Macaca mulatta: one gene and its partners. The protein of the gene in region 3 interacts with the protein of the main gene of each other region in a pairwise test. Links are inferred from orthologs where the notes say so. Each region holds a gene or a part of one and is shown on either strand. Other genes may lie near its edges. The genes, in order: NMD3, MYLIP, LNX2, PTCD3, TUBB, PHYKPL and SCLY.

Region 1 (4,122 bases), on a different chromosome or scaffold from region 3:
CGGTATATTGATGAATACAAATCTTGCACTAATTTTAATTTTAAATACTTAAATACAATTAAAAAACGTGAACGTGCTCTTTACCACAACCAACCAACACTATCCATAAAGGTAACATTTATTAACAATTTGTATATATCCTTCCAAACATTTTCTATGCAGACACAAACATTCACATTAACTTTTACAAATAAACAGATAAACTTCCTAACCGCAAGTGTAATAACAAACTTGGGAAAAATTTGAGAAGCACTGTTATTCATCATCCCTTATTGAAAATTGGAAAACCAAGTAAGAATCAATTAACAAGGCAATAGTGTGTCAATGGCAAAAACCAAAAAGAAAATCCTATATCAAGAATATGTAAGATCAGTTTGTCTCTTTTTAATTCAACCACCTCATCTCTAAATACTAAGCCTTTAAAAATGTATTTATTCAGGGTATACAGGTGAAATGTATGGTGTCACTACATTAAAAGATTACAGCTGTCTACTTATCGCTAATGAATATTTCTTCAAGTATATCTCTGGATTACACCAGTAGAAACTAATATCTAAATCATTTCTAACAGAATTAGACAACAACATACTCCAAAGGCAATTTAAAAAAAAAGTATAAGGACTCCTAAAATATAAACATTTACGCAAAGCAGAATTTTTTTTTTAACAGGATGGGAAGTCTATCAACATCTAGAGACTCAGTATAAATGACAAACTATCATAATTCGAGATGTACTGGGGGCACAAAAAGTCTGAGAACCCCTAATGTAGAACATTGTCCAAAATAAAAGTTCTATAATTTTCCATGTCCAATGGTAGCCACCAGGAGCCACATGTGGCAACATGGCTAGTACAAATGAGCAACCAAGTATTTAATTTTATTCCATTTAAATTAATTTAGGAAACTTCCAACTTAAACTGCTTGGGGCTTATGTTAACAGTGGAGCCAGCGGTACCACTTGGAAAGCAAGCAGTTCCTGACAGAGCTTACCAGGCTCTTTCAGAAGTGCTAGTTGTCCGGCACAGAAGTATAATGGTCAAACAACCCATTCCAACAAAGGGTTCTGTGAAGGGCTCTGAGCCCTTCGACAAGTGTCTGTTAAAAGCTACTGACAGAACAAGGAAGATCAGCACTATGCTGCGCTCCAAAGACATTTTCAGATGGCTTATTCAAACCCAGAGCTAACTGAGGGACAAGGGAAGAGTAAAGCATCACAGGGAAGGAGGCCAAAGTTTCTGCTTTCGCTAATCACTGAATTCCTATTTTTCCTTTGGTATTTACTTTTGGCCACAAAGCTAGTTTCTCCACAGTTACTGTTTTCCTGTGAGATTAGGGTCATTTTAGACAGAAGCACTGCAATGTTTACAGGGTAGTTGTGGTAAGATGCCAATTTATTTTAGATTTAGCTGATTGGTCTGTGCTGAACGATTCCAAGATTCTCGTTTAAAAGTCTCTGTAGTCATCTCTTTCAAGAGCACTGTATCATTAAACCTATTTATCAGCAAAAAAAAAAAAAAAAAAAAGTTAATTTGAACTTAAATGCAAGAAATTAAAAATTGATAATTGTTTTAAGATGTTCAAAATTTAAAAATTACGACACTATAATCTCCAATAAAAAACAGTAAGTTATTCCCAGCTACTCGGGAGGCTGAGGCAGGGAATTGCTTGAACTCGGGAGGCGGAGGTTGCAATGAGCCGAGATCACACTACTGCAACAGAGTGAGATTCCGTCTCAGAAAAAAAAAAGTAAGGAAATGTAAGTAAAAGGTAAATTTAAATAGCCACACGTAGCTAATGGCTACATATTGGACAGGGCCGATATAAAAGAATGTATGAAAAATATTTTAACCCTCTTAGAGCATGTATTTACTAGAACAAGCTTTATAACCAGAAACTAACTCGATTTTCTACAGAAATAAGACTTTTATTTTTTCCCATTTATGACAATAGAAGCTCCTTCCCACCCACCCTCAAGCGTTCCCCATAGTGAGTTTCCAGGGCTCATTGAAGATTTTCACATGCAAGGGGGAAGGAAGAAGTGTGGCACTCACATGTGTCCAGGGCTGCGGTCGGTGGATTCTGTCATATATTCCATCGTTCTCTACGCCTTAAGTTTAAAAAAATAAAATAAAATGAGAATGTTGGGATTTAAATCACTTTGTCTGGTCTCCTCTTTTTACGTCTTCCTCTTGTCTCTCCGAATAATTAACATATTCACGGAACTTCGAAAAAGCAGGAAAGAAGGAAAGCCAACTCCACTGGGTAAGTTCGGAAAAAAGAACTTTAAGATGAAGACCACGGGATTTACTGAGTTTCCCAGCTGCAAGACCCTCGGTCCACCCAGCTCTGCCGCTGACCTCCATCTCACCTGGCCTCCAAACCCTGGAAGACCTAGGGCGAGGTCAGACCGCTCGGGATTGCGGACGCCCGGGCCCTCCCGCTCTCCACCAGCCCACGGACCGCACCGGCACGCCGCGCCTCAGACCTACGCCGCAGGAGTACCCGGATGAAGTCCCCGCGCCCGCGGGTCACCCACGCCGACCCCCAACCCCGGGGAGCGACCGCATACGGGTTCTGGGCACGCGGCGCTCACGCGGACTGAGCACGACCCGAGCCCAGGGAGCCCGCCCCGCCCGCTACTCAGGGGCCCGTGCCGACAGCACGGGTCTCGGACCCCGGAACCTACTTCGCCTCTCCGGACCAGCACAGGATTTGCTGAAAACCCGCAACAAAACAGAACCTGGCAGTCCTGTCAGCTGCCCACCCGTGTGTCTCCGCCACAGAGAGGATCTCGCGAGAGAAATGCTCGAAATCCCGCGGCCTGAGTGACGTGTGGAAAGGGGCGGGTGGGGGCGGGGAAAGGGGCGGCACCCACGGGCGGAAGGGTGAGGGGAGCTGCCGGGAGGCTGGGAAAGCGCGCGGAGAGCAGTCCGGGGGGGCTCCTTCGCCTTCAGCGACTGCTTTTCAGTTATCGTCTCGATTTTCCCAGGCCGGAGTTCACTCCAAACCAACCTCGCCCGTATATTAGTCTCTTTTCAGCTATCCCGACTGTGAGCTTGCTTCTCGATTAAACGATTATGTTATATAAAAGTTATCTGTAAACAGTACCTCAGGCAGAGAAACTCCATCCAGGCCGGCGCCTTTGTCTGGTTCACCATCCTATACAGGCCTGATGTCTGCCACACCCTAACTGCTGAAATGATTATTTGTTGAAAGAATGAAATGTAAAGCATAATTATCTGTGAAGAAGTCTATGCGATTTTTAGATAAATTATTAATTATATGATTCCGGATAGTACACTTAATATCTTTGTATGACTGATTTATCCCTCAAACTTGGAGCAGCACAGACCATGTCTAATCGGTCTCATGACAGCCTTTCAAATATTTGAAGAGTACAACCATTTTCTTTTTCTAAATCCCCTCATCCCAAATGTCAAGGAATAAGCAAGGGCGTTTTGTAGAGGGTGATCAGAGGAAGCCTCTCATCATTTCTTGCCCAGAATACTTAAGTAGCCTCTCCTCTGCTCTCCCTACTTGTAGACTCCAATCCATCCTTCTGAAATGCAGTTCTGATTCTGTCACACTCCCCTGCTTTTAATCCTTCAGTGGCCTCTGCTTACCTTCAGCATTATTTCCAGTTTCTTTGCGTGGAAAGAAGACCTTTCAGGATCTGATCTCCACATATCCTGTCTTCCTCCCAACCACACGTACTCCCAAACCATTCAAACCAACTGGCAGGTCTCACAGGAAATAGTCTTCCTTTGCTTCTACCCAGGACTCGGTAAAGATTAAGCCTGAATTAGTTTCCTAGTGCTGCTCTAACAAGTTATCAGTGATTTAGTTGGCTTAAAAAAACACAAATTTGTTCTCTTCCAGTTTTGGAAGCTACAGGTCTAAACAGATGGTGAGGGCTGACTCTGGAGGCTCTAGGAGAAAATGTCAGGCCTCTGAGCCCAAGCTAAGCCATCATATCCCCTGTGACCCGCACGTATACATCCAGATGGCCTGAAGTAACTGAAGAATCACAAAATAAGTGAAAATGGCCTGTTCCTGCCTTAACTGATGACATTACCTTGTGAAATTCCTTTCCTGGCTCATCCTGGCTCAAAGGCTCCCCCA
Region 2 (3,500 bases), on a different chromosome or scaffold from region 3:
AAGCAATTACTGAAGGCGTCTTTCTGTGCAGAGTGTGGTCTCTACGTGAGTAGACTAGAACACTTCAGGCAGCAATGCAGCAGACCCTTCTTGAAATTGTGTGTCCTTAGCTCAGCTGACTGAGTCAGGCCAACATTTCTGGGCTGATGCCCGCATGGCCAGGGAGGGTGGCTCTGCTCCTCGCCGTAGGTGGCAGCTCCACATTCCTGGCTGACTTCTCAGAAAGTCCGTGCCCATCATCAGCCCTCAGGAGAGACTTACGGATGAGAGTTGGACTGGGTGGGCAGAAAAAGACAAGCCTATGACTGCTTCTGGGGAAAGGACACAGGGGTTGTTTGGTCTTATTAGCTCTGAAATTAGCAGCTTCTGAAGGACTAAGTATTATTTAGGATCAGTTTTACATAAAACCATAGTGACATTTGGCAAACACCTGAGAAATAAAAACAAATTGAAAAAACTTATTATAAGAGGAAATTTAAAATTCTTCTTCATGCAAGAAAGGAAGAAAACTATATGTGAGTTCTCTTTTTATTGTTGTTAATATTAAAATTAGTTTGACTTGCTAATAAATAACAGTCAACCCATATGCCCTTGAGGCATTTGCAATCATAAAAGGAAATTAATCACTAATATCACAGAGTCAACAACCCATCCATGGATAATTGAGAAGTATTCTTTCCCAAATATCTTTTTTTTTTTTTTTTTTTTTTTTTTTGAGACGGAGTCTCGCTCTGTCATCCAGGCTGCAGTGCAGTGGCCGGATCTCAGCTCACTGCAAGCTCCGCCTCCCGAGTTTACGCCATTCTCCTGCCTCAGCCTCTCCAGTAGCTGGGACTACAGGCAACCGCCACCTCGCCCGGCTAGTTTTTTTTTGTATTTTTTAGTAGAGACGGGGTTTCACCGGGTTAGCCAGGATGGTCTCGATCTCCTGACCTCGTGATCTGCCCGTCTCGGCCTCCCAAAGTGCTGGGATTACAGGCTTGAGCCACCGCGCCTGGCCTCTTTCCCAAATATCTTAAGTAATAAAGACCATCCTCCTAAGTGTCAGAAAAAGGGAGGCAACTTGAAATAGAGGAAGCAGCCCTGGGCCAGGCCTCAGGAGGCCTGGATTCTAGTCCTCAGGTCAGCTGCTAACTAGGTACATTACCCAGGAATCTGAGCCTCATTTTCAGAACTTGAAAACACTGTATAATTTGGAGTAATTATGTTGTTGAAAATAGTACACTCATCTAAAATGTTTCTAAAGGTCGATACCTTTTAGGTCACCAAGTACAAAGACCGTTTCCGGGTGAAGATGGGCATTTCCCGTCGGTGCACGAGCAAGCCAGTACCTGGCTCCTACTCCCCATTAACAGGAGGTATAGGTGAGGCTGCAGGCAAAAGTGGGCAGCTGACTCCCCTACCTGTAGCTGGGTGGCGCAGCTCTCACAGCACACAGTATGGCCACAGGGACAGAAGGTGGAGTTGATCTCCTCCTCGCAGCACACCATGCACAGCATGGCTTCCTTCAGCTTGCGCAGCTTCTCCTGCAGCGCCCGGGTCTGCTGGCAGCTGAGGCCCTCACAGCTGCTGCAGTTCATGCTGCTTTCTGAGGACTTCAGAGGCGAGTGTGAAGGGCTCTGGTTGCTTCTTGAAACGAGGTCCACAACGCCAGCATTGTACAGAGCCCTCCTGGCATGGTCATACACCTCCTTTGATGTTCTTTTAATATCAAAGACATATTTCTTGCCAAGGTTAATGTTTTCATTCAGAAACAGAGATGCCAAGTGGCCCTTCAAGTCACGGCTATACTGCATCATGACGGCGCTGGTCACTGTGTCACACCTGCAAGGCAAGATTGAACATCTACTTTAACACCAAAGAGCCCAGCAGCCCCCTTATTAGCTGTTGTCAACAAGAACAAGCAGATGTTTCATATTCTTGTCTGCACGTATGAAAGTAAGTCCTTCCAGTTTTACATCTGGCAGATATCCTCAGTGATTACACCTGTTTCCCTAACGTCTCCTAACGTTATGGTTTCCATAAAGCAGTAAATACAGAGGGCAGTGAGCACATACCTCCTCCCCAGGACAGATGCTACCGAGTCAAGTTGCTTATGGAAGAAAAAGGGCATCTGCCTTGAAGTCTTGGCTTTTATGTTAGAAATGTCTACAAATATTCCATTCTGTTTCACAAGTTGTATATCTATTTTAACATAAATAAAGTTTAAAGATGCCTACGACTTAAATTTCTGAACTTTAATTGTCCAAATACCTGAGTCCAATCACAACTTGGCTTCAAAGCACCCTCTGAAATGAGGGGATCAATATTGTTATTAAAAAATCCTTTCGTACACAGTGAGGATTCAGGATAGCAGCTCTGCCAGAAAGAAAAGATGACCTGTGCTATCCTTCTCCTGGGCAGTGGAGCAGGCCCACCCACTCAGGGTTACCTTTAGGGTAGTCAAACTTGGCTTTGAACCTGAGTGCTAGACTAAGTAAATATTTATTCTCCCAGTTCCCTCATCTTTAACATTAGGGTAATAATACTTAACCTCTTAGGGTTGTTGTATTGATTAAATAGGCGTAGAAATCTCCTAACACACTTTGTGTCTAGATTAACGGCATAAGAAAATATGGTAGGAGGCAAGCAGAGAATGTGTTTGTGTGGCTCACACACATGCACCTTCTGTGGGTAAAACAAGACTACATTAACAAGGACTCCACTGCTACTGCAGAAACAAAATGTTCAGAATTTCCTAAATTCTGTACTAGACTCATTGACACAACAATCCAAGGAACTGTAGAAACCTGGCTGTCACCTAAAAACCTTAGAACTGCGGTGCTGAGGTGACCAAGCACATGAGATACGTGCCTGTAGAACGCGTGCGTCTCTGTTATCGCTCTGTAGAGCCCGCTGGCCGCCCTGGTGCTGATCATTTTAAACAAGAGCACAATGCTGTTCCCAGACTCCTTGGTGACCGTCAAATATACATTCTTTCCTGACTGGGTGGCCATCTGCACCACAGGATAAGCTATCCTAAGAGACGGGAAGAGAAAAGAAAGCAGATCTAGAAGGACTGATTATTCACCATGTGTGTGCTTTTGTGGGATCCCCATTTGCTCATGACCTAGGAGAAAAATCAGACGCTTCCTCTGGGGCTATCACATCACCATGATGCTGCCTCGTCATAAAGATACAGTGAAAAGCAGTTGGGCATATGTGGAGGGAAGTGTAGGAGCAAGTGCTGGGTGTGTACACATGCATGTCTAGAGGTGAAAACAAGTTTTTTATGGCAGTGAATGGGTTATTTGGAAAATGTTAACTCTGCCACATTGTATACCTTGAGTAACATTTAAAATGGTTATTCAGGCCTGAATAAAATTAATATACATACCAAAATGAAATATTTCATTCCTAAGAGCTGACTGTCAAGTAAATCCCTTCCTACTTTCTATTATGTTGAGAGCTACAGATGTATACACATGCTTAGGTCAAAAAAAGTTAAGTCTTGGCTTACC
Region 3 (4,177 bases):
ACACAACTATCCAACAACTGCATCATGGATCTCTCAACCATCCATTTAGCACCTCCTTAGATTGGTCCAAAACTGAACTTATCTCCCCTTCCACACCTCTACCATTAATTGTTTTTAACTGCTGCTTCTCATATCCTCCAACATTCCACTAGCTCATTAACGTCATCATCTATGCACTTGGAATGTGCTAGGTACCCTGCCAAAGGCATTACATGTGTAATTTCTCAAACCCTACTGAACAGGTATGACAATCATTTCCCAAATATTAGGAAATCAAAGTTCTGTCAGGATAGTAATTCTAAGGGTAAGTAATAGAATTAGAATTTGACCCGTTTTAATTCCACAGCCAGCTTACCCAGTACATGTCAATCAATGCCTGAAATCAAACAACCCAGGATTCATCCTTCCCCTCCTTAAGCCTATCTAGTCACTTACCTGGTCCAGCCTCCTAGTCATACGCGTTAAATGCCATGTCGTTTCTCCTTCCACTGCCAGCACACTAGCATTTACTAAGTCCTTACTATGTGGCAATCACTATTCTAAGTAATATACATGTTTTTTCAAGTTCTATCCCCCAAACTCTGAGATGAAAAACCTAAGGAACAAAGAGGTTTCAGTGTATGACAGAGCCTGATTCCACCCCAGGTAATCTGAATAGAGAATCCCTGAGCACTTAACCCCTCCATTATAACAGCCTCCAACTTAGTCTCAATACCGCCCATCTGGAAGCCCACCATCCTCCAGATGCTGCAGATATCTTTCTGGAACGCGAATGTTATCATGACATTCTCCTGCTTAAAATTAGCAGCTCAGTATCACTGACTGGATAAAGTCCAAATTTCTTAATCTGGTATACAAAATCCTTCATTTTTCTGTTCAAGTCAATTCAGTAAATATTTTAGTGACCAATGTAAGCAAGAAAAGGTGCCAAGTGCTCTGAAATGAATACCATACATGTCCCTGACTACTACTTCCACCTTGGACACTGGGTCCTTCGGCCAGACAAGCCCATATGCAAAGCTCATAATACAACAGCCCAAAGATACATGCATTTATTTTTAAGTGGCCTGCGTGCTCCGTGCCTACAATGTACGATATCCCAAATCAATCTGAAGGCTAGGTGCCTACGTAACACCTATTCTTACAGGTCTCCAGGCAGAAATGCTCCCTAAGTTCAAATTACTTCAGGGTAACTAGCGGGATAAAAGCATGGATCAGTTTCCAAATGAGAAAACTTCTGGGCAAGAACTAACCCCTGCCATCAATGGCTGGCATGCAGTAGGTACTTTATCAGTGGCTAAATGAATAAATAATGAAAAAATGTCAAAGCTGATGAGAAGACGAGAGAAACAAGATATATGGAGAATGTAACACACAAGTGGGCCGAATTAAAAGTAATGTTATTCTACTTTGGTTCTCATTTGGCCTACTTTTACCCCATGGGAAAACTCACATGTGGGACTTGGACAAGCTTAAAAAGCCAAAACTTTGTTATTCATGGCTCAACAAAGCTTTGACAAGCCAAAAAGGATACCAGATTCCCGCTTCCTTCTTTACCTGCCAAAGTCCATTTTCTAAAGAGGTGTGGGGGTGGGAATCAAATCTAGCAAAGTAAATAAAATTGATCTACTGAGATCCAACTTCATCAGTGCTGCATCGAAGTACATGCAAAAGAAATATCAAAATCTGTCCTGGGAAGAAGGCCAATTTACAAGTAAGTACTATTGCCGCAAGAATGTGAAATTCTTAAAGGCAGTTCCAATAAGCTGGAGCTCACAAGTGTTCCTCCTCCTGCACCGCCACCGCTCTTCACTCAACTTTGTTTCTGATTTCTGTGATTTTAAAAAGGATAATAAATACAGCAAAGTCCATGCATAAGTGTACTTTAGCTCCTGGCACAAACGAACGTCTGGATTCATAAACTCAACGTAAACTGAAATACTAGAAGAAACACTACATGAGTCAAAAGTCCTTGTTTAAAACGTGGCATAAAGCTTTGAAAAGCGAGTGATGTATTTCCTGAACGATGCTTTGTGTGCAACTGGTTCCAAATCAAGATTCGCATTTTTAAATTACCCACTGGAATATGTCAAATCTATCTCCCACCCTCTCCAGCCTAAAGAGAAAGGTGAGAATTCACAGGCAACAGGCTAGGGCGGAGGGAACGATCTCTCCCTATCCCTTTGCAGAGGAACAAAATCCGACAAAGGCAGCTAGTGCCACTCGCATTGCCGACACCACACACACACACACAGGAAATTTAAACACTCACCCCACCTCTCCCTTCCCTTAAGAAGCAAACGACGCCAAGATCTGCACCGCGGTGGCCGGAACCAGCAAATGCTAACAGCCGGAGGCCGCCCGCCTCCAGGGCTCCTACAGGCGGCGGGCACCGGGCGCCGACTCTCCCTCCCCGACCAGCCCCACACCGGAGTCCACGCCAGCCCCGCAGCCCGGGCGAGCAAAGACAGCCGCGGACGACCAAAGCTCCGGGGCGAGCAGCGGCGCCGCTCCGGCCGCCTCCCGGGGCGCGGCGCTCCTCCACACCCAGCCGACGCCCGCACCTGAGGCGGCTGCCCGCAGCCGGGGAGAGGGCGCGCAGCGAGGCGGGCAGGACAAAGTTACTCACTGGGAAAGCGCGGCTGCCCGGGCCGCGCACGGCCACCAGCTCCCGCTCTCCGCGGCCCGCTGAGGGAGCGGAGAGCCTGCCCGGCTCCGCTCCGCCGAGAATTGCCGCCGCCGCCACCGCGGATTTCCTGGCAAGAAGCAAACTCCGGCCAAGACTTCACTTCTCAACCGCCCCTGCTGCCTTCCCGGGGGCCAGCGCTAAGGCCGAGCGGCCCAACCCGCAGCCGGGCCAATCGGAGGTAGCACAGGGCGGGAGGTGGGCGGACCAGAGGGCGGCTCCACCTATCCGAGAGCTCGGGAGGCGGGCCAGAATTGGCCCGTCACTCCTGGGTTAGAGTGAGACCACTCCGCCCTCGCCGCCCGCCTCCCCCACCCGCCCCGGGCTGTCCCCGCCGCCCGCCTGATTCCCCTGCGGAAGCCCCGGGGGCTAGGTGCCTGTGCGCACCCCGGGCCGCTGCCAGGAGTGGCACTGCTCGGGAAGGAGTGAACATCCAGAGGAATCGCGGGGCGGGGTGGGGGGAGGCTAGGAGAACAGGTGGCGCAGGGAAGCAGAAACGTAGTTGCGCAGGACAGCTGGACAGCTGGAGTGGGGCAGGGTCGGGGCCGGCGGCTAGGGGAGAAGGGCCTATTCGAGAGGAAGCGCACCTGAGGGAGCGTGGCCGGGGCCGGGACAGGGAGCTGGGCGGAGAGCGAGTCTGGGTGGCGAAGGTTGCCGAGGCGGGGGCTGGGCACCTGGGAACAAAGGTGAGGGCGGGTTCCGCAGGTGAAGAGGTTTGAAGAGCCACAGCGGGTAAAGGGAAAGGAAGTCCACAGCCGGAGAGGACGCGCTCTGGGGGATAGAAGGAATCCTAGGACGGAAAGGATGAGGTGGGAAACAGTTTTTTCCCAAACTCTCACTCCCCCAAAAGAGAAAGACATTTCTTTCTTGCCCTTTATTTGACCCAGTTGAGAATGCAACTGCAAGGTCCCCGGTGAGACAAATACCGCCTTCAACCCTCGTATTCTGTCGTGACTCATCTTGCACGTGACCTCCTCCCTCTTCAAGGTGTGTTGACCGACTAGAGCCTAAGCCTGTCGTCCCACAGAAGGCCCAGGAGGCCGGGGTCCCAGGAAGGGCCATCCTGGGTCAACACCGCCCCAGTGGGGGAGTCGGGCCTCTTTCGCCCTTGCCACTGGGAAGGGAAGTGATTTGGGGGCGGCAGGTAAAGCCCCGCTCCTTCACCATCACCTGGGGAAAGGTACCAAGGTTGAGCTGGCGCGCCCGCAGGCCTGTCTGGGCCTCGGGGTAAAGCGGCGCTGGCCCCACCCCCTGCCCCTCCCGCCGTGAGTGGCCTCGCCTGGTCGCCCAGGTGAGCCGCCGGGCCGCGAGCCACCGCCCACCCCGCGTCGGGGCGGAGCCTGGGGGCGGAGCCTGATGCCCCGCCCCGCGGCTGGGCCCTGCCGCGCCGCTGCGGCTCCTCCTCCCTCCTTCCGTCCTCCGCGCCTTCCGTCGGTCTGTCCTTCCTTCCTGCTTCGTCTCCACGCCTCGCGCTATGGGACAGAACCCCCG
Region 4 (3,500 bases), on a different chromosome or scaffold from region 3:
GGTTGCACAGAACGTGAAACCAAATCTGCAGACTTTTAATACCATTCTGAAATGTCTCCGAAGATTTCATGTGATTGCAAGATTGCCAGCCTTACAGCTTTTACGTGAAATGAAAGCCATTGGAATAGGTGAGGATGCGCCCTTGATTCCTCTGAAGACAGAGCCTGTGCCAGCCAGAGGTTTCAGGTCAACATAAGCAAAGACCTTTAAATTCTTCTTCTGCTTACATAATATGCTGGAAATTTTGTTTCCATGTTTGGCACATTAAATTAAATGTACTGTACTTATGGTGGGAGTGTCTTTATCATCTTAGTGTTCATTAGTATTTTAGGTACTTTGTTTATGGTTCTGTTGAATCTGAGGAGAAGTGATTGCTTTGAGTTAGCTAGTTTTAAATTCATGACATTTTTCCAGCATAATTAGGTATTTGAACCTAAGTGTGTGCTAGTGTATTGTATATTTTTCATTAGTTACTTTATTGAAAGTTGCTTTGGGAATCAATTCACTTAAATATATTTTACTGTTCTCAGTGAAGAATGTGACTAATAAGTATTTGGACTTTCAAAAAGTGATTAAGTCTTTATGATAGTTTTTCACCTTTACATTAATGAGTTGGAAAATATCTTTGTTCAAAGGAATAGAAATGCATCTATTGCTTAAATATTAACATTAATATGTTTTAAATTCAGTGTGTCTCAGTAAACTATATTTTGGATTGCTGTGTGTTTACCTCATTGTTTATTTTTTCTATTCACCTGGTAATTCGAGAACCCTCGCTTGCAACATATCACCATATTATTCAGCTGTTTTATCAGCCTGGTATGTATGGCCTTAAACTGTGTTAATTTATATAGAAAATTGACCAGCTTTCTTGAATTTATGTGATTAATTGTTGCAGGTTATCTTCTCTGCATATGAATTAAGAAAAGATAATTTGTAAATTAACCTGTACAGCCTGAGCAGAAAGTTGTGGCTTTTTTTTTAGAGATAGGATCTTGCTCATTGCAGCCTTGAACTCCTGGGCTCAAGCAGTCCTCCCTCCTTAGCCTCCTGAGTAGTTGGGATTACAGATGCCTACCAGCATGCCCAGCTGATTTTTTTTATTGGGCAGGGTCTTACTACCTAAAATTATTCTTGAGGTTAGCAATCTTGTTTATGGTATGAAACTTGAGCTGGAGGGGAGAGGGTTATGGAATGTACTGTCAGTGATGTTGTACAAACAGGAATGGTTAGAATGTATTTTGGCTGAAGTCCCTTTTGTTCTCTGGAGCTATGCTATTTAATACCGTAGCCACTAGCCACATGTGGCCAGTTAATTAAAATTAAGTAAAATAATAAATTATTTTGTCACGTTAGTGCTCAGTAGCCATGTGTCTAGTGGCTACCATGTTCAGTGATGCAGGTTCAGAACATTTCCATCTTTGCCAAAAGTTTGTGGACGTTGCTGCTTCAGAGGAAGGTAAACTTATTGTGAAGCCTTTTGGGAGGACCTCAAGGCTCCATTCGTTGTCCACTTTTAGGTCAGTTCCAGTGGGAGCTCTGCTCTGTAGATGGACTTTGGAGAGAGACACACCTGAACTGAGATGTCGGCTCTATCGTTTATTTACCAGCTATGTCAAAGTGACTGGATGCCTACCTGAGGAATAGCAGCAGGGTGTGGTAGTTAAATGAGTTCCACACCGTGTCTGCTACTGTGTTTGGAAGGCACATATGAGACACTCAGAATCTTTTAGTTCTTATCCATTTATCCCCAGCCTAAGAAATAACCCTTGAGTTCAGAATTGACAGTTCTAGTCATTCTTTCTCGTGATAGACTATAAAAATTACAGAAGAGAACTTGATTCTCTCTGGTTTGGAGGACTAATTTTGTAAAATCCATATCATCACCTGTATAGGCAAATTTTATCTTTAGGAAAAGGAACCAAACAGTTAATTGACTGTACCTTGGAAACAGATAAAGTTTCCATAATTGTGTCCCCTAAAATTTTACTCAACCTTGGTGAGATTGTGATGGAGCTAGTATTTCTGACCCCAAAGTATATTTCTTTCCTCTGTAACTCTCATCACTGGTTCAATTGCTAATCAAAGTCAGATGTACTTACATTTCCTAAGTAACAGCCAGGACTGGGGGATGGGGAATCTGGGGGAGCTATGTTGGTTTGTCTTATGTATATAAATTGCCTGTCTGCAATAATAATTTTGGCTTACGCCTGTAATCCCAGCAATTTAGGAAGCCGAGACAGGAGGATTGCTTGAGCCCAGGAGTTTGAAAACAACCTGGACAACACAGAGAGACCTGCATGTCTACTAAACATGAAAAAAGTAGCTGGACATGGTGGCGCACCCCTGTAGTCCCAGCTACTCAGGAGTGTGAGGCGGGAGGATTGCTTGTGGCCAGGAGGTGGAAACTGTAGTAAGCTGCATTTGTCCCACTGCACTCCAGCCTAGGTGACAGAGCAAGACCCTGTCTCAATAATAATAATAATTTCTAGGAATTGACCCAAAAGAGAAAGCCTAAATTAGCCAAGAAACAATACATTGAAAAGAGAATATTATGTAACTGATAAAATTAAGAATGTTAGCAAAGGGAAACATGCTTGAGCAAATTGTGAAACTATCTGCACTGTCATTACAACTCTGCTACCACGAACACACAGAACAGGTAGGGAACAGAGTGTAGAGAAATATTTGACTGGGAATATTGCAGATGATTTTCTGACCTATTAGTGCTCAGCTCACATTATTTTTAAGCACTGCCCTGTCCATTCTAGTTTACTTTTTCTTGACCTCATTCTGATTATATTTAAAGGGAACACAAATGATTACTAGCAAAAAACATTTTTGGTTGGGCGCAGTGGCTCGTGCCTGTAGTCCCAGCATTTGGGAGGCTGAGGCGGGCAGATCATGAGATCAGGAGTTCAAGACCAGGCTGACCAACATGGGGAAACCCTGTCTCTACTAAAATTACAAAAAATTAGCCAGGCGTGGTGGCAGAGGCCTGTAGTCCCAGCTGCTCGGGAGGCTGAGGCAGGAGACTCGGTTGAACCCGGGAAGCAGAGGTTGCAGTGAGCCGAGATTGTGCCATTGCACTCCAGCCAGGGCAACAGTGCATCACTCCATCTCAAAAAAAAAAAAAAAAAAAGTTTTTCTAAGTATGCTGGTTTGGTGAGGGAGTGTGTGTTACTGTCTGCCTCCTACTCCAGTAAGTCAGGCTTCATGTGAAGATCCTAAAGAAAGGGGAAGTCTCAGTGGAGCACATGAATAGAGACCTGTGATTATTCCAGATTTTACAGAGAATTGCTCTCTGCAGGGTGTAGTGGTTCCTTTAGCAAGCATTGGCCTCCACCCAGCTCTATGCGAGGACTTAGGCTGGAGGTGAAGGAAGGAGAAATGTGTCCCTTTGTACTAGGTACTGTGAGGTTGGTGGTGGTAAAGGAAGTGGATTAAACACATTTGCTTTCTTGTTCTGCAGGAAACCCTTCAAATAGATCATCCTTCAT
Region 5 (4,004 bases), on a different chromosome or scaffold from region 3:
TTCACTGTGATGTATTCTCCCCCCACTGCCCCATAATGTACCAGCAACAGCAGGCACTACCTCTACCCTACCTCTACCCTCCATTAGATTTCAGAATACAGTTCTTAGCACTCCAGTACAACAATCATCTCCTAACTTTTGCTGTGTCCTTGCACCCAAATAAGTTGAACACGATAGTATATCATCTGCTAATATCATCTGTATAACTTACCAAATACAAAGTTGTCTGGTCTAAAGATCTGGCCAAAAGGACCTGAGCGAACAGAGTCCATGGTCCCAGGTTCTAGATCCACCAGGATGGCACGAGGAACATATTTGCCACCTACAAAGAATAAAGTTAAGAGCTGTGAGATCTGGCAGAGGGAAAGGTTTATAGATACACTGGGAATGGAAGACAGCAGGGACCCAAGACTTGTTCCAGGTCCTGCCACCAGGTGGCAGCAGACGTCTTTGGCCCCGACGGTGGTTCACAAAAGGGAGAAAATGATAGATTCACCGAAAGGGGATAAGGCGTGCCAGGAATGGAAAGAGACCCCAGAGAAGTGGGAGACAGGGAAGGGGAACCTGAGCTGCCCGGGCTCTTGCCCTTACCTGTGGCTTCATTGTAGTACACGGAGATGCGGTCCAGCTGCAGGTCGCTGTCCCCGTGGTAGGTGCCGGTGGGGTCGATGCCATGTTCATCACTGATCACCTCCCAGAACTGCCGGGCAGGAGCAACGAGACCACAAGTCAAGTCCCAGTCAACTACGTCCCCAACTACCATTTTATTTCATCTTTTTCTTAACTTTTTTCTTTTTTTTTTTTGAGACGGAGTCTCGCTCTGTCGCCAGGCTGGAGTGCAATGGCGCTATCTCGGCTCACTGCAACCTCTGCTTCCCGGGTTCAAGCGATTCTCCTGCCTCAGCCTCCGGAGTAGCTGGGACTACAGGCGCGCGCCACCACGCCCAGCTAATTTTTTGTATTTTTAGTAGAGACGGGTTTCACCATGTTGACCAGGATGGTCTAGATCTCTTGATCCGCCCACCTCGGCCTCCTAAAGTGCTGGGATTACAGGCGTGAGCCACCGCGCCCAGCTTCTTTTAATTTTTAAGACAGGGTCTTCCTCTGTTGCCCAGCCTGCAGTGCAGTGGTGCAATCACGGATCACTACAGCCTGAAACTCCCAGGCTCAACCGATCCTCCCATCTCAGCCTCTCGAATAGCTGGGACCACAGACGCGCGCCACCACACCCAGTTAATTTTTTTTTTTTTTTTTTTGAAGAGATGTGGCCGGGGGGAGGGGTCTCGCTTTGTTGCCCAGGATGGTCTCAAACCCCTGAGCGGGAGCGATCCCAATTAGCCCGCCTCAGCCCCACATCTCCCATTTTAATCCCACACGCGCTCAGGCCGTTGTTCTAGGGCCTGGCATCCCGTGTGCCTGCCACACCCTTCCCCTAGACACTCGCTCCCCCGGGAAAGCCACAGCTTTCCCGGCTCGGGATTATGTGCAGCGGGTCCCAAGTGCTCGGTGGGCGGATGGAGGTCGACCATACTTGGATAAGCGCCGCTGTTCTTCCCCCGAGCTGGGCACCGCCCCACCGCGCGGCGCACAAAAGGCTCGGGGCACTAGAAGAGCTGCTGCCGCAGTCGACCACCCCCCACCCTCCACGTGACTGCGGCGCACGCGCAGGTCGAGCCGCCGACAAAGGACTTCGCACGTGGGCGGGGCCAGGGGCAAGAATTCCGCGCGAGGGGCGGGGCCCAGGGTAGCGCGCCCCTCCCGGCGGGCAACGCCGCATTGTCCCCGCGCGCCAGCGGCGCCCTGGCCCCGCCCCGCAGGGCCCCGCCCTTCTGCTACAACGTAGCACCCGCACTTCCTCCCGCCCCTCCCCCGCTACACTGTAACCGCGCGCAAAAAAAAAAAAAAAAAAAACCCTTGGCCTCGGAATTTTATTCCTTTGCTAGATTTCTCCCCCTTGATTTAAAGCATTCTTTCTCTCCCATTAAGTCCTGAAGGACTCGTTAAAGAAAACCACACACCCCCATTTTCTCGACATATCAGTTCACGCCCTAAAGAGGTCTCGCTTAGGTGCCATGAAAGCAAGAAAAATTAATCCCGTTCTTATTCTCCTTCCACCCCGGAACAACTACAGGACCGGCCCTCCGGGGTCGCGGGCGCGCTGGGGTCCCTGATCTTTTGTGAATGGTAGCGCCCAGCGCAGCCCACCCTGGCGCATCGCCCCCCGACCTTTGCACTGGAGCTCTCTGCAGCCGCCCGACAGCCTCACCCCTTCCCGCTCCCGTTTGGCCCTAAGAACCCCGCAGGGGGGGCTGGGCGGGATGCACATGGGCAAAACCTCGCCCCGCTTTGTCTCCGACTGTTTCCGCATCTCTCTCCCTGCCCGGTTCTTGGACCGTTAGAAGCCCTTTTAAGTAACATATGTCCTTGGTCTTCCCGCCCCCGAAACCCGAAGAGCCCTTTTACTAGTTTCTCCAAAATGTGCCTGCCAAGAAAAATGATTCCCAGTTTTCCAAAAGCAAATGCTAGTTATTATATATATAAATGTAACAAACTTGGGAGGGGCAAAGCTTGATTAAGAATGGAGAGTGCAAATGCCCCACAACCATTTTTTCATAACTTACCTGGATTTTTCCTTCTAAAAAGAAATAAAAGAGGTGTAAAATTCTTACCTTGGCACCGATCTGGTTGCCACACTGACCGGCCTGGATGTGCACGATTTCCCTCATGGTTAAAATTAATTTTTTTTGCTCGCCTCAAGGTATGTATGGGGCAAGAAAATAAGTAATTTTTTTTCTCTGCAGGTCGCAGGCTGGAAGGTTGGAACGCGCCCCAGACGCTGGAGCAGCGAGGTGCGAACGCGGCGGCAGGAAGGTTCTGAGAGGGAGAAAGGAGAGGGGAGGGCGCGGAGGGAAGGCAGGCTGGGCGGGGCGCGCGTGCGCCGGGGCTGGGAGGCGGGAGAATCGGCCCCGCGCGCGGTCGGGAGACAAAGCCTCATCGAGCCTGGCCCTGATTAGTCGATGCCGGTCATGTACCAGGCGTCCATTGGCCTCTGAGCCAGTGGACGAGCGCAGTCCTCTTTGGGAGTTGTAGTCCCCTATTGTTGTTCACGGTGCAAAATGAAGTGACGAATGGGTGGGTACCGGTTTGGTTTTTGTTGGGTTTTTGTTTTGTAAATGAAAAACGACCTTGCGCAAGATTCCTTTCCTCTGTGCCTGAGGTTTTTGTACAAAAAGTGAGCAGTTCTCGGGGATGCAGGGATTGAGAAGTCTGGGGTTCCAGAAGTTGGGTGGTGAGGTACGCCCTAAAAGCTCCCAGCTGCAGTACCTCTAGGGAAGACAGAATTGCTTAGCTCAGCGAAAAATGGGGAGGAGTGTGGCACCGTGCTCTGCTACCTCTGGCCTTTGGTGACCCAAGTCATGAACTTAAGTAAGCTTCTGCTCTCTCAAATACTTCAAGAAGGGAATCGCCCTCTTGCTATTTCCTTGGAAATTTTCGAGTCATTGTTTTGAAAGAGAAACAAAATTGCAGCAAGGGCTTTTCAGGATAGAGATGTTGTCTGGAGAGTATGTTCAAAGAATAAAATAGTTTAGAGAAACCGACATCGGGGATTTGTGAAACTAGAAGTCTCCATCCACGTAGGAGATCTGGGCCTTAGGGCAGACTTTGAAGACACCTTGATCTTCTTGTCAAACAGGGAACTATGGAATGAGATGCCTGATAGATTTTCAGTTTTTTCAGCCTACCTTTTTAGACATGTTAATGAAGTCAGTGGTTTTTCAATTCGCTTATTTCACTGACCAGGTGGCCGCCATTGCAACTCTGCAAGATACCCAGTATTGAAAAAGGAGAGAGGGGAAATTGATGGGGGAAAATTGGATGGGCTCAAGACAGAGTCCACCAGCTTCTTCCCAGAGATTTATTCACTTATTTGATAGTTACTATGTATCCACCAAATTAGGAACTATGGTTACAAAATGATTAATAATTAGTTCCCTGTCCTCCAG
Region 6 (3,500 bases), on a different chromosome or scaffold from region 3:
TTTTTAGGTTTTATAGAAGTGGTCGTGGAGCACCTGAAACGCATAGGCAAGGCTTCCCTGGTCGGGTTCAGATAACCTTTCCGGCCCCACAGGCTGCCTTTCTTTGTCGTACCTCCTGTGTCTGGCTCTGTCGCTCCTTCAGTGAAGCCTTCAGAGAGCCCTCACCTGTCGCCAACAGTCTTCCCTCTGTTATCACCGTGGGTAACACACCTCTCTCTCCGACGTCTGCACCTCCATTCCATCTCCACTCTACTGCCCCTGTCAGGCCTCCCCACAGCTCACTTGGGGTCTACTGGCCACTTCGTGGTCACCTGACCTCAAGCTACCCCATTCAGATCTATCCCCCACATAGCCCTGGAGTTGGAGAGCAGCGCCAGCCCCAGAGCTTAGCGCTCTCCCGCTTAAGACTCTGGTGGTTCCCGGGGGCCTCCAGGGCAGAACTGCAGCTGCTCAGCCTAGTTCTGGTGCCCTCTGGCATGTGGACCCTGCCTGCCTCTCCAGGCTCAGCTCCTGGCCACACATTCACACGGTTCCTCAGCCACCCGTCGGGATGCCCTTCCTCTGCTACTCCCCACCCCATCTGGAGTGGCTGACCCCTACTGTGTCAGGGAGCACCTCCTCCAAGGACCCCCCTTGACATTCCCCAAGGCCTGCTCAGGCTCTGGCTGCCTATCATGCCCATGCTAGTGCACTCAGACCCTCTGCTGAGCCCGAACTGCCCCTACCCCAGATTCCTGGAGGGCAGGGCCTCGTTTGGTTTTCTCTCTGGGTTCCCAGCATCTAGCACAGTGGTGGTGACAACAATGGAGGTGACATTAACTGTTTGCTGGATTGGACAGGCGCGGACATAGTTACCTTCCTGCCCTTCTCCTGTGCACTGCTGACCACACGTTTCACCTCGTTGGCATAGGCCACGGCTGGGTTGGGGTGGTCCTCCCGGTAGGGGCCCCGGTAGGTGTCTGGGAGAGGTGCCTGTGGGGAGTGACAGCGCCACGTTATCTGGGCTTGGGGACAGGCACCGACCTGTTGTTGAGTTGGGCAGTGCATACCACGTGGACCCACTCCTTCTGGCCATCCAGGTTGCGGAACTTGTAGGGACTGATGTCAATCAGGGAGCTCAGGTGGCCGTGATACGCACTGGGGAGGAGAAGGGAGGGTAGGCTCGGGTCCGGGCAGCTCCTACTCCCTGGCCCAGTCTGACCATGGTCTCCCCACCCTTGAAGACACACAGGGGAGGCCAACTTTCCTGACAGAGCCCCCAGGTTCTTGGGAACTTGGGAAAGAGCACGGGCTTTGGAGTCAGCAACACTTCTTGCAAGACTGCTGACTGGCTATGTGACAGCAGCTCATCATTTAACCTCTTGGGGTTGTTTTCTCTGCTGTGAAATGGGGTGGGAGTTCCTCTTTCTGGTTTATAATGAATCTTAAATGTGTTGATACTGTCAGCCTCAGCTTTGTGCACATCACACACTCAATTCATGGGAGCTACTGCTGTGGCAGTTTGAACATGCAAAATGTTGTGGGACCACCTTTGACTCCCTTACAAAGCGCACTCTGCTCCCCAGAGCTGCCTTCCCAGAATGGTGGCCCAGGGTGACAGAGCCTCCGGGGGGTCTCAGGCCTGGTCCTCTGCCTGCCACGCTTGTCTTCAGTAGCCCAGGCCCCTTATCCTCCCTGCCTAAGGCACCCGGAGTGAGTCGCACAGATCCCCAAGCAGCCTGTGCGCCAGGCTTCTGGAAATGGTAGGGCTGTGAGTTGCACTTACTGGTCTAATACCACCACGTCCTGGTGTCCCGTGTAGTGGCGAGCCAGCCTCAGGGCCAGGTCATTGGCTTCTGACCTATGACCGAAAAGGTGGGCATGACTGAGACAGTGGTCCAAGAGCTTCCCAGAGAGAAATGCTGAGGGCAAGAGGACCCTTCTAGCAGCAAGAAGATTCTCAGGACATCAACTAGTCAGTCACTTGCTTATTTGTTTGGTATACATCAAATGCCTCCTATGTACTAGAAGCTGGGGGCAAAAAGAGTAGGTAAAACAGGCCAGGGGCGGTGGCTCATGCCTATAATCCCAGCACTTTGGGAGGCCGAGGTGGGCGGATCACGAGGTCAGGAGATCGAGACCATCCTGGCTAACATGGTGAAACCCCGTCTCTGCTAAAAATACAAAAAACTAATGTGGCATGGTGGCGGGCGCCTGTAGTCCCAGCTACTCAGGAGGCTGAGGCAGGAGAATGGCATGAACCTGGGAGGCAGAGCTTGCAGTGAGCTGAGATCACGCCACTGCACTCCAGCCTGGGAGACAGTGAGACTCTGCCTCAAAAAAAAAAAAAAGGTAAAACACACACGGCCTTGGCTCTCCTCTTGGCTCTCCTGGAATTTACATTCTCGTATGTGTCATGAAACTTGTTTGGAAAAAACTCAAACCATTGTTTTTCCTCTGCTTTCACACTACGACAATCAACACAGAAGACTTCTGTGACTCCAAAAAATATGTAAGGATTTCTTCCTGCCAGCAGGCAAGCAATCGGATTGCAGCAACACCAGCTGGGTGTCCTCCAGTTCAATTCCAACACACTCTACGTGGAGGCAGCATCAGATCCCACAGCATGAGGGCTCAGTGCCCAAGACTGCCCCACAGCCCCCTGGGCACCAGTAGCAAGTCGGCCTCTGGAACTAATTTTCTTTTTTTGTAGAGATGGGGTCTCACTATATTGCCCAGACTGGGGGCTCAAGCATTCCTCCCACCTCAACCTCAAAGTACTGGAATTATAGGCATGAGCCACCGTGGTGGCCACCTTTGGAAATTTTTTTTTTTGAGACAGAGTCTCACTCTGTTGCCCGGGCTAGAGTGCAGCGGCTGATGTTGGCTCATTGCAGCCTCTGCCTCCCAGGCTCATGGGATTCTCCTGCCTCAGCCTCCTGAGTAGCTGGGATTACAGGCGCCCACCACTATGCCCAGTTGACTTTTTGTATTTTTAGTAGAGATGGGGTTTCACCATGTTGGCTAGGCTGGTCTCACACTCCTAATTCTCCTGCCTCGGCTTCCCAAAGTGCTGGGATTACGGGCGGGAGCCACCGCACTCAGCCCCCCTTTGGAACTTCTGACCAACTGGCTTCAAGTTGAGGTTCCCACAATTCCCTCTGTAGGTTCAATTAATTTGCTGCAGTGGCTCACAAAACTGAGGGAAATACATTTACTGGTTTGTTATAAAGGATATTATAAAAGATACAGATGAAGAGATGCATAGGGGGAGATATGAAGGAAGGGCATGGAGCTTCCCGTGCCCACCCTGGGCGCACCACCCTTCAGGAACCTGTGTATGTTCAGCTATCTGGAAGCTCTCTGAATCTAGTCCCCTTAGTTTTTATGGAAGCTTCATGACAGCAGCATTCCTTCTCCCAGGACATGGGGTAGGACCCTCTCTGGAATGAGAGTTTTATGACCCACCATCAGAAAGGTGGGGAAGATTAGAGTCCCGCCTTGGGCAGGTGAAAGGAAGG
Region 7 (3,500 bases), on a different chromosome or scaffold from region 3:
AGAGCTGAGACGTACATTCCAGTCCTTGCAGATCGACCTGGACTCCATGAGAAATCTGAAGGCCAGCTTGGAGAACAGCCTGAGGGAGGTGGAGGCCCGCTACGCCCTACAGATGGAGCAGCTCAATGGGATCCTGCTGCACCTGGAGTCAGAGCTGGCACAGACCCGGACAGAGGGACAGCGACAGGCCCAGGAGTATGAGGCCCTGCTGAACATCAAGGTCAAGCTGGAAGCTGAGATCGCCACCGACCGCTGCCTGCTGGAAGATGGCGAGGAATTCAATCTTGGTGATGCCTTGGACAGCAGCAACTCCACGCAAACCATCCAAAAGACCACCACCTGCCGGATAGTGGATGGCAAAGTGGTGTCTGAGACCAACGACACCAAAGTTCTGAGGCATTAAGCCAGCAGAAGCAGGGTACCCTTTGGGGAGCAGGAGGCCAATAAAAAGTTCAGAGTTCAAAAAAAAATAAACAAATAAAAATAAATTTCCCTCAAAGACTTTAGATAATAATATTTAGGCCGGGCGTGGTGGCTCACATCTGTAATCCCAGCACTGTGGGAGGCCGAGGTGGGTGGATCACGAGGTCAGGAGTTCAAGACTAGCCTGGCCAATATGGTGAAACCCCGTCTCTACTAAAAATACAAAAATTAGCCGGGCATGGTGGCGCGTGCCTCTAGTCCCAGCTACTTGGGAGGCTGAGGCAGAAGAATCGCTTGAACCCAGGAGGCGGACGTTGCAGTGACCCGAGACCTGAGATAGTGCCACTGCACTCCAGCCTGGGTGAGAGCAAGACTCAGTCTCAAAATAATAATAATATTTAAATATTATTAAATAATGTTTAAATAATAATACTGTGAAAATAATTAAACCACTCTATAAATTGATTTTTTTTCTTTTGCATTTCTATCTGAGTAGCAACAGAAAGTAAACTGCAACACTTCTGAGTTTATGGTTCTTAATTCATGGAAACAAAGGCTGTCAAGGAAACCTAAAAGCCACTGCCAGGCTTCATTCAGGTCCAGAACATGATTTCTCTGTGAGAGCGATTCCTAGACTTTTTCATGAGACAATGCCTGTCATTGGCATTTAGTTATTCTCCGTATTTTCAAGTTTAATATGTCAGAAAGTTCAATTTTACTAAAGGAGAGACTGGATACAAGGCAATGTGCAGAAGATTAGCCAGAATAGACCAACAAATAAGCCAACAAATAAGTTAATGAATGACTAGTATCTAAGCTGAGGGCTTTGTTATTAAGTTGCTGTGAAACTTAACAGCAACTGAATATGAGAACATATTAAACCTGTAAAGTTGTACACAAGTGTTACTAAACCATATGGCCTGGCAATATTCTGTTTGAAGTTATTTTAGTTCATCATAATCCACAGTTAACATAGTTTATCTTAATTATCCCTAATAAACATTAAATAAGAAAGGTAAGACTTGAGTTTGCTCATCTATCTGAAAAACAGAATGTAACTCTGCCATATAACTGACTTGAAGCAAATTATTCTCCAAAACCTCCAATTTAATGCTCTACATTACAATAAGAATAAATTGGAAACATATAAGAATATTTATAACTGATTAATGAAAAAGTAATTTTCGGCCGGGCACGGTGGCTCAAGCCTGTAATCCCAGCACTTTGGGAGGCCGAGACGGGTGGATCACGAGGTCAGGAGATTGAGACCATCCTGGCTAACACGGTGAAACCCCGTCTCTACTAAAAAATACAAAAAACTAGCCGGGCGAGGTGGCGGGCGCCTGTAGTCCCAGCTACTCGGGAGGCTGAGGCAGGAGAATGGCGTAAACCCGGGAGGCGGAGCTTGCAGTGAGCCGAGATCGCGCCACTGCACTCCAGCCTGGGTGACAGAGCCAGACTCCGTCTCAAAAAAAAAAAAAAAAAGAAAAAGTAATTTTCATTTTTTAAAAGGGCCAGGATTGTACGTTATCCTGATGACCTAAAAGACATATTTTGCGAATTCTGTAAGGATTGACTTAGCTAGATCTGTGCAGTGCTCAACAGGCACTGACAGCCACTGCAAGGAACTCTCAGTGGACACCTTTCTCATCGGGGAAAGGGTGACAGGACAGCATGTTAAAGATTAAACATTAAAGGTTAAAGACTACCGTAGCAGCAAGGCTCAGCTTATAAATTGGGACTTCTCAGAAAAGAAACAATCAAAAATTACAGCTAAAGATTTGCAGCTAACAGAAATCTATTCAAAACAAAGCCATCACATGTGGGTGTGCAATTTCTCTAAGAGCGTCCCATCCCCATTATCTCCCATCTGTGAACATGTGCATCTTCTAGAATTACCTGCTGGATACAGGCTGCTGGGATTGCCCCAGGCTTCCCACATGGCCTCGGTCATGGCCTGGATAACTTCTGGCTCCAGGGGAGTGGTTGCATTATAGTCCATATAAACTTTCCTGAAGGAAAGAAAGCAAAGACACCCCTTAAGGAAAAGGAGACAGCACATGGGAAATACGGCTGCTCTGTGTCTATCCCATCAGCAGGAGCAAATAATGTCAAGGGCACGGCGGTCTCCTGCATAAGCACTGCAGACACCCACAAGCTGCACTTGGGAATATCCAGGATCTGCACTACTTGTGGAAAACGTATGCACAATTTCTAATAATCTAGTTTTTGCCAATTTCTTTTATAATTGATAGGACTTGGATTTTCATTTAGGTTTTCAAAATTTCTTTCTAGCAAGGCACAGTGGATCGTGCCTGTAGTCCCAGCCACGGGGGAGGCTGAGGCGGAATGAACTCTTCAGGCCAGAAGTTTGAGGCAGTGAGCTATGATGGCGCCTATGAATAGCCACTGCACTCCAGCCTGGGCAACACAGCCAGATCCTGCCTCTAATAACAAACACTCTTTCTACCCCTTGGTAGGGCCCAGATTACCCATCTGACAGCTATGAAGGGCAGATCGTTGGCCTCTTTCTTATGGAAGGAGGGGAACAGCTGCATATTCCCAAGGGAACTTTCCTGTTTGCTGTTTTAACTTCATCAGAGTTTCGCCTTATTTCCCCATACCCGTTTTTGCGATGGCCTGTGGGGTTCGTGGTGACCTGGGCTTCTCCCTGGGGCAGGTGAACTTTGGCCCCAGACCTTGCACTTTCCGTTTCTTTGCCCAGAAAAACTACATGCCCTGCCTCCACCTTACTTTTTTAGATCTTTGTTCCAACTTAGTCCTCTTGTGACCCCCTGCCCCGCAGCTCTGTTTAAAACTACAGCCGGCTGGGCACAGTGGCTCACGCCTATAATCCTAGCACTTTGGGAGGTCAAGGCAGGTGGATCACTTGAGGTTAGGAGTTTGAGACCAGCCTGGCCCACATGGTGAAACTCCATCTGTACTAAAAATGCAAAAATTAGCCCTACTAGGGAGGCTGGGGCAGGAAAATCGCTTGAACCTGGGAGGTGGAGGTTGCTGTGAGCCGAGATCACGCCACTGCCTGGGCAACGGAGTGAGACTCTGTCTCAAACAAA

The links.
Region 1: the proteins of LNX2 (region 3) and NMD3 interact in a two-hybrid assay, tested with the Homo sapiens proteins (3 studies listed by BioGRID and IntAct). The link is inferred for Macaca mulatta from reciprocal best matches to the Homo sapiens genes LNX2 and NMD3.
Region 2: the proteins of LNX2 (region 3) and MYLIP interact in binary tests that used the Homo sapiens proteins (3 or more experiments, as listed by UniProt). The link is inferred for Macaca mulatta from reciprocal best matches to the Homo sapiens genes LNX2 and MYLIP.
Region 4: the proteins of LNX2 (region 3) and PTCD3 interact in binary tests that used the Homo sapiens proteins (3 or more experiments, as listed by UniProt). The link is inferred for Macaca mulatta from reciprocal best matches to the Homo sapiens genes LNX2 and PTCD3.
Region 5: the proteins of LNX2 (region 3) and TUBB interact in a two-hybrid assay, tested with the Homo sapiens proteins (3 studies listed by BioGRID and IntAct). The link is inferred for Macaca mulatta from reciprocal best matches to the Homo sapiens genes LNX2 and TUBB.
Region 6: the proteins of LNX2 (region 3) and PHYKPL interact in binary tests that used the Homo sapiens proteins (3 or more experiments, as listed by UniProt). The link is inferred for Macaca mulatta from reciprocal best matches to the Homo sapiens genes LNX2 and PHYKPL.
Region 7: the proteins of LNX2 (region 3) and SCLY interact in binary tests that used the Homo sapiens proteins (3 or more experiments, as listed by UniProt). The link is inferred for Macaca mulatta from reciprocal best matches to the Homo sapiens genes LNX2 and SCLY.

Annotation. Positions count from the first base shown.
Region 1 is NC_133407.1:64,393,670-64,397,791, reverse strand, and holds the start of NMD3 (60S ribosomal export protein NMD3), read right to left. Parts: upstream 2,801-4,122; 5' UTR 2,687-2,800; exon of another isoform or gene 2,369-2,686; intron 2,108-2,368; 5' UTR 2,096-2,107; coding exon 2,052-2,095; intron 1-2,051. UniProt on the Homo sapiens protein: Acts as an adapter for the XPO1/CRM1-mediated export of the 60S ribosomal subunit.
Region 2 is NC_133409.1:166,968,549-166,972,048, forward strand, and holds part of MYLIP (E3 ubiquitin-protein ligase MYLIP), read right to left. Parts: coding exon 3,500-3,500; intron 3,019-3,499; coding exon 2,854-3,018; intron 1,825-2,853; coding exon 1,404-1,824; intron 1-1,403. UniProt on the Homo sapiens protein: E3 ubiquitin-protein ligase that mediates ubiquitination and subsequent proteasomal degradation of myosin regulatory light chain (MRLC), LDLR, VLDLR and LRP8. Activity depends on E2 enzymes of the UBE2D family.
Region 3 is NC_133422.1:7,657,353-7,661,529, forward strand, and holds the start of LNX2 (ligand of Numb protein X 2), read right to left. Parts: upstream 2,801-4,177; 5' UTR 2,630-2,800; exon of another isoform or gene 1-2,629.
Region 4 is NC_133418.1:38,255,638-38,259,137, reverse strand, and holds part of PTCD3 (small ribosomal subunit protein mS39), read left to right. Parts: coding exon 1-128; intron 129-768; coding exon 769-819; intron 820-3,472; coding exon 3,473-3,500. UniProt on the Homo sapiens protein: Mitochondrial RNA-binding protein that has a role in mitochondrial translation.
Region 5 is NC_133409.1:152,322,544-152,326,547, forward strand, and holds the start of TUBB (tubulin beta chain), read right to left. Parts: upstream 2,801-4,004; 5' UTR 2,727-2,800; coding exon 2,670-2,726; intron 1,628-2,669; exon of another isoform or gene 1,344-1,627; intron 701-1,343; coding exon 592-700; intron 323-591; coding exon 212-322; intron 1-211. UniProt on the Homo sapiens protein: Tubulin is the major constituent of microtubules, a cylinder consisting of laterally associated linear protofilaments composed of alpha- and beta-tubulin heterodimers.
Region 6 is NC_133411.1:187,044,986-187,048,485, forward strand, and holds part of PHYKPL (5-phosphohydroxy-L-lysine phospho-lyase), read right to left. Parts: intron 1,841-3,500; coding exon 1,766-1,840; intron 1,138-1,765; coding exon 1,050-1,137; intron 973-1,049; coding exon 856-972; intron 1-855.
Region 7 is NC_133417.1:143,306,919-143,310,418, reverse strand, and holds part of SCLY (selenocysteine lyase), read right to left. Parts: intron 2,436-3,500; coding exon 2,323-2,435; intron 810-2,322; exon of another isoform or gene 1-809. UniProt on the Homo sapiens protein: Catalyzes the decomposition of L-selenocysteine to L-alanine and elemental selenium.